2 linked regions of the Sus scrofa genome follow. The protein of the gene in region 1 interacts with the protein of each later gene in a pairwise test. Links are inferred from orthologs where the notes say so. Each region holds a gene or a part of one and is shown in the gene's direction. Other genes may lie near its edges.

Evidence for each region.
Region 2: the proteins of NXF1 (region 1) and SRSF1 interact in binary tests that used the Homo sapiens proteins (3 or more experiments, as listed by UniProt). The link is inferred for Sus scrofa from reciprocal best matches to the Homo sapiens genes NXF1 and SRSF1.

Annotation. Positions count from the first base shown.
Region 1 is NC_010444.4:8,979,946-8,982,487, forward strand, and holds the end of NXF1 (nuclear RNA export factor 1), read left to right. Parts: intron 1-465; coding exon 466-648; intron 649-767; coding exon of another isoform or gene 768-789; exon of another isoform or gene 790-804; intron 805-1,530; coding exon 1,531-1,591; intron 1,592-1,701; coding exon 1,702-1,740; 3' UTR 1,741-2,042; downstream 2,043-2,542.
Region 2 is NC_010454.4:34,279,312-34,283,623, reverse strand, and holds the start of SRSF1 (serine/arginine-rich splicing factor 1), read left to right. Parts: upstream 1-1,505; 5' UTR 1,506-1,595; coding exon 1,596-1,789; exon of another isoform or gene 1,790-2,216; intron 2,217-2,224; coding exon 2,225-2,409; intron 2,410-2,755; coding exon 2,756-2,928; intron 2,929-3,131; coding exon 3,132-3,326; 3' UTR 3,327-4,312. UniProt on the Homo sapiens protein: Plays a role in preventing exon skipping, ensuring the accuracy of splicing and regulating alternative splicing.

The DNA of each region.
Region 1 (2,542 bases):
TCCCCAGTCCCCAATCCCTGGCCCCCACCACTGTGAAATGTGGGGACGGTGGAGTCACCCCTCTGGGCATTTTCAGAATTTCAGAAAGGCTGAGGGAGCAGAGGAGGCTCACACAGTGGTGAAGGGTTTGGCTCTGGAGTCCAGCTGCCTGGGTCTTCCATCCTGGCTCCACTACTTCTAGCCAAGGGCAAGTTTCCTCATCTGCAAATCAGTTTAACAGCATTCACTTTCTGAGTCTGTTGTGAAAATAAATGAGGGCTAAGAACTGTCTGTGGGTTGGGGGAGAATGTCTAATTCTAGCGTGTTTGGTAGGTAATCCCATACATAGAGTCCACAGGAAAGGGGGTGAATGATGAAGGGACCTCGTGGGTATTGAAGGAATCTGAGTGTCAAACGAGGAGTGACGGTGGGAGGATGAGGTTCTCTGTCTGTCCCGCTGTGTCTAAGGTGCTCTTTGTCTCCAAGGCTGTGCATCGTAAACGACGAGCTGTTTGTGCGGAATGCCAGTCCCGATGAGATCCAAAGAGCCTTCGCCATGCCGGCGCCCACGCCTTCCTCCAGCCCAGTGCCCACCCTCTCCCCAGAACAGCAGGAAATGCTGCAAGCATTCTCTACCCAGTCTGGCATGAACCTTGAGTGGTCCCAGAAGTGAGTACTGGGCCTGTGTAGGCACAGGGGTAAACTGAGGTAGGGCTGGTGGTGAATAATGAGTGCCCATAAAATTTTTAAAACCAGACCTTTTTTTTTTTTAATTGCTTTTAAAAAAGGGGATGTTCCCTGGTGGCCTAGTGCTTAAGGATCTAGCACTGTCACTGCTGTGGCCTGGGTCACTGCTGTGGTGTGGGTTCTGTCCCTGCCCTGGGAAGGTATGTATGCTGTGAGCGTGGCAAAAAAAAAAAAAAGAAAGAAAAAGATTGTCCCTGAGAAAAAATTTCTTTGTGCGTAAATTAGCATAACAATTTAAAGCCAAAGCGAAGTCCCTTTTTTATACTGTTCTGCAACTGACTTTACTTATCCCATGAGCATTTTTCCCTATTAGTGTAAAACTTACCTTAGTCTTGTTTCTATTAGCTATTTAGTAGAAATAGTTACTTAATATCAAAAGACCATTGATGGACATTTGGATTTTTACCAGTTTTTCATTTGTATAGAGTATAACAGCGTGTATATAATTGTTGGCAAACTCAGGCGTGTATTTCTATAGAATGGATTTTTTTTTTTTGAGGCCACACATGAGGCATATATGTAAGTTCCTAGACTAGGGGTCGAATCAGAGCTCTAACTGCCAGCTTACACCACAGCCACAGCATTGTGGGATCTGAGCCACATCTGTGACCTTCACGGCAGTGCTGGATCCCCAACCCAGTGAGCAAGACCAGGGATTGAACCTGCATCTCCATGGATAGTAGTCGGATTCTTTTCTGCTGCTCCACAACGGGATCTCCCTAGAATGGATTTTGAAGTGGCCTTTGGTGATCAAAATGACTGTGGTTGTTTCTCACAGAGGTGTCTGTTCTTGCCCTGCTCCAGGTGTCTTCAGGACAACAACTGGGACTACACCAGATCTGCCCAGGCCTTTACTCATCTCAAGGTAAGGGAATGGGTGGCAAAAAGAGATCTCCAAGCCTTCAAGAGGGTCAAGTAAGCTGGGGGCATGGGTGCCATCCACCTCACTCTACCAACCTTTTATTTTTCCCTAAGGCCAAGGGCGAGATCCCAGAAGTGGCATTCATAAAGTGACCCATAGTTGTGCTCCAAGAGAAGGCACCTGTAAATAGCCCTTGGATATATTGATGTCTCGTTGCCATGGTTGTCGCCTCTCCGGCCCCCAGGCCACCCTTTGACTGTGACCGAGGAGGGGGTGCTGCTGGATCCCTCTCCTCACCTGCCTTCTGGAAGACTTCCAGGAGATTGAGCCTCTGGTGCCAGGAAGCCAAAGCTTACTTTGTAGAACTGACACTAAACTACTCAAAGGACTTAGGTGCTTTGTGTACTTAACCCCACGATCCTTCCTACTTTTTAAGATAAAGAGTGATGTTGTATTTTGTGTAGAGCGTGCAATTCTGTATTAGCCTTGCCCTTTGCGTGTGCTGGCGGAAGGGAGGCCAGGGCTGGGCCTAGAGGGCGGGGACGGAGGCGGCGGACGGGGACTCCGGGAGGGCGGGGAGGAGGCGTCGGCAGGAAGTCCCGCCCCGGAAGTCGCCCCTTGCGGGGCCATGGCGGCGCCCGGGGCACGCATACCCGCGCGGCTGCTTCTGGCGCTGCAGTCCCGACCCGCGCGCCGGGCCCTGCACGATGCAGCCCCGCCACGGGACGTGCTGCTCTTCGAGCACGAACGAGGCCGCTTTTTCGCCGTCCTCGGGCTGTTCTGTGCCGGCCAGGGCGTCTTCTGGGCCTCCCTGGCCATTGCCGCCTTAACCCGCCCCCCGGCCCCGGCTCGGCCTCCGGACACCGAGTCCCCAGACCGTGGCCGCCTGGACCTACGCTCCGCGCTCTGGCGCTATGGCCTCGCTCTTGGCTGCGGCACTATCGGTAAGTGTGG
Region 2 (4,312 bases), on another chromosome or scaffold:
AATCGCCTTTTAGAACTGAAAACATGACCTTCTGAAAAATCTTTTTAAGGCACTTTGGATCTTGAATATACTGTTTCCTTCTTTACTGTGACTGCCATGATGACTAGGGTCAAATTTGTAATCCATCTTTAGAACTCACAAATTTTTACTGCAGCCATTTTGTGTATTAACTTTATCCATGACTTCATTTTAATTTCCCCTTATATTCTCCGTGATTTCTCCATTCAATTGCAATAACGTTTTCTGGTATCTCTGTAAACAGCATCACATCACTGGGGAGAGGGATTGATGCGAATAAATAAAAATGAAGAAAATCATCCTCTCAATCAGGGTGCAGACCTGTTTCAGCATATTTATGACAGGGTTTTTTTTTTAATTTGAATTCACCATTAATATTTTAAAATCCCAGTATTTCATATAAAAATCCAGATTTCAGATGGCTCCGTGGCAAAATGTAACAAGTTCTTATCTCCCTGGACCAACATGCTGGCGAGATGAGTCCTTAAGCCGCCACTTCGGTCTCCAGTGGTCACAGAAATCCTCACACATCCACTTTGCTCATTCATATTACCTGAGAGATTTGCTAATGAGTTCCAAAAAAGGAAGGAACGTCAGGATTCTGCAATACAAACAGGAGGGCGCGCGTCTTTTTCGTTCTTTGAAAGACGTTGTAGAAATAACAGACACAATTCATTCTGCAAACCTTCACTGGACCTCTCCGCTGCGCTGGGCCCTGGCGATAGGTGATTTAAAAAAGAAGCAGAGGTCTGGGTCCTGGTTGGCTGATGCCGCCAGGAATTACCGCCACGAGCACAAGGAGCGTTGAACTGAGGTCAGTTCTGAACCGAAGGTGGAACGGTACTTAGCGTAGAATATTTATTAAAGCGTCTCAGCCAGGTTCCCCTGCATTAGACAGTCGTCCAAGCAGTCCACGGCCCGTTCGCAGATGGGGCGGGAAGACAAAGTCACGTCTCGGCTCCGCGTTGATTCACCCGCAACGCGACTCCTGAACGAGGTGCACTCTCCAAGGATGCCCGTGTTTCCGGAGCAACCGCCTGGTCCCTCCCCCTTTGACTCCGCCCCCGGCAGTCTTTCCCGCCAAAGGCCGTTAACAGCGCAGAGCATGGTGGGACCTAGCTTTAGGCTAGGTTTCACCAAATACTTTCAAGACGCCGTTTTTTTGAGAGAAACATTCCTGAGGAAACTGCTGATTCTTTAGGATTCGACAGAGATTAATAACCCCTTTTACGAGAGCTCTATATTTAATTTTGCCACAAGGCTGGTCACTCCCTTATTAAACCCCTCGACAAATCGGGAAGGCGGGAACTTTTTTCCCTTCGCGCGGAGGGTGACGTCGCGCTTGCGCGAGCGTCACTCTCGCAGCACCCGTTACGCTCTTGCGCGTGCGTAGTGAGATCGAATAGCTGCTTCCTCCCGCTTCTCTTCCTCCCTCCCCCCCATATCCGTGCGCCGAGCTGATAAAGGCGCCATTTTGGAGGGGCCGCGGGAGACGTGGTGTCGCTGCGGGCTCGCTCTCCCGCTCGCTAGGCTTGGTGGGAAGGCCTGTTCTCGAGTCCGCGCTTTTCGTCGCCGCCATGTCGGGAGGTGGTGTGATCCGTGGCCCGGCAGGGAACAACGATTGCCGCATCTACGTGGGTAACTTACCTCCAGACATCCGAACCAAGGACATTGAGGACGTGTTCTACAAATACGGTGCTATCCGCGACATCGACCTGAAGAATCGCCGCGGAGGACCGCCCTTCGCCTTCGTTGAGTTCGAGGACCCGCGGTGAGGCGGCCAGGGGCTTGCGGCCTTGAGGAAATAGGTTGGAGTAGTTGGGGAAGGCTCCGGGGCCTTCACTTGGGGAATGGGGCGGTGGGTTCTTGGGTTGGGGGCCAGACGATATCGCCCATGCAGGAGTCGAGTAAGGAGCCGAGTCGGCGTGGCTCCTCTGGTGGCCGGGCCCCACGGACGTCCCTAGAGCCGACTCGCAGGCTCGGAGCGGGAAACTGAGGCGCCGAGGGCTGCTGGAGTGGTCGGGAGCCTGGCGTGCTTCTGGGTGGGGGAGGGGCCGTTCCTATTATGCGGCGCATGTGGGCTCTTCCACCCCGGTGCGCATGTGCGGGGGCCCGCTCGCTCCCCGGCGGAGTGAGCCGCCCCTCCTGGCCCTTTTTTTTTTTTTTTCTTCTTTTCCTTACCCCTTGGCTTTCTCTGGTCACGCAGAGACGCAGAAGACGCGGTGTATGGTCGCGACGGCTATGATTACGATGGATACCGTCTGCGGGTGGAGTTTCCTCGAAGCGGCCGTGGTACCGGCCGAGGCGGCGGCGGGGGTGGTGGCGGCGGGGCTCCCCGAGGGCGCTATGGCCCCCCATCCAGGCGTTCTGAAAACAGAGTGGTTGTCTCTGGTGAGTTGGCGGGTCCGTGCGGATTGATGATAAGGGGACCGCACACCGTTTTGAAGTTTTTCTTGGTGTTTTCATGCCAGGTCTTCACTTAAACCGGAGTGCCTTGGGTGACTTTAGTTAACAAGGACTACTCTATTTGAGACTTAGCGAATTAGGTTGCAGTACCTAGAAGATAAGAAGAGCCTTAACTTTACAAATAATTTTGGACTCTTGATTCCGAACTCTTTTAACAGCTCGTTAAACGGGATGTTAAAGACCGTTGGTTTTAAGTCTTGTTTTAATGTAACCTTTATGTTTAATGTGAAACTTAGGATAATTGGTATTGAAAGAAAACGCACTTTTTCAGGACTGCCTCCAAGTGGAAGCTGGCAGGATTTGAAGGATCACATGCGTGAAGCAGGTGATGTATGTTATGCTGATGTTTACCGAGATGGCACTGGTGTCGTGGAGTTTGTACGGAAAGAAGATATGACCTATGCAGTTCGAAAACTGGATAACACTAAGTTTAGATCTCATGAGGTAGGTTATATTCTTTTCCTTGGCCAGAATTGGATACAGTGGTCTTAACAGTGGAATTTGAAGGTAAGATTCAGGCAAGGGTGTCCAAGTAAAAACCCAGTAAAGTGCCAGATTTCTGGTTTGAGTTACGTTGATTCATTCAGCATGCCTGAAGACAGGTGAAAGCTTAGATCTTTCAATCGAAAGTTCTGTCTATCCAATAGGGAGAAACTGCCTACATCCGGGTTAAAGTTGATGGGCCCAGAAGTCCAAGTTATGGAAGATCTCGATCTCGAAGCCGTAGTCGTAGCAGAAGCCGTAGCAGAAGCAACAGCAGGAGTCGCAGTTATTCCCCAAGGAGAAGCAGAGGATCACCACGCTATTCTCCCCGTCATAGCAGATCTCGCTCTCGTACATAAGATGATTGGTGACACTTTTTTGTAGAACCCATGTTGTATACAGTTTTCCTTTATTCAGTACAATCTTTTCATTTTTTAATTCAAAACTGTTTTTGTTCAGAGTGGGCTAAAGTGTTGAATTGCATTCTTGTGTAATATCCCCTTGCTCCTAACATCTACATTCCCCTCATGTCTGATAAATTGTATTTTAAGTGATGTCATAGACAGGATTGTTTAAATTTAGTTAACTCTCCATGCTCTTCAGACTGTGATACTGTGTAAATGTCTATTCTGCTCTGGTTTGTGTGAACTGGGATGTTGGGGGTGTTGGTGGTTATCTTACCTGGGGAAGTTCTTATGTTTATCTTGCTTTTCATGTGTCTTTCTGTAGACATATCTGAAGAGATGGATTAAGAATGCTTTGGATTAAGGATTGTGGAGCACATTTCAATCATTTTAGGATTGTCAAAAGGAGGATTGAGGAGGATCAGATCAATAATGGAGGCAATGGTATGACTCCAAGTGCTATTGTCACAGATGAAATTGGCAGTATTGACCTTATACTAAAAGGCAAGGGTTTAAAGTGATTATATACATCTATCTTAAAACACTTGAAAACATTTTATGCAGTTATATTTGGCTACAATTGCTTTACTCTTTAAAACTCTGGCAATTGTGGCAAAATTACATGGCCCATTTTGTAACAATTTGTTTTGCTCCCTTCCCTTTTTTGTTTTATTAGGGACTAATGTGGGAAGAACTGATTAATTTGTCACAGTGCTTAGTTACAACTGTTAATGTGTGACCTGCTGTTGGTGTACTTGTGGGTACAGGGTGTCTTTAATTCCAACCAGATAGAGTATAATATCAATACTGCTAAATCTGCATGTCCTCTGTGTGACTGATATAATAGCGTTGCTACTTCATTTTTTTAAGACAAAATGAAAGCAAAATAATAGAATTCCAATTTATTGGTGTAGATAATCTAGTTGGGAATACTTTTTAAG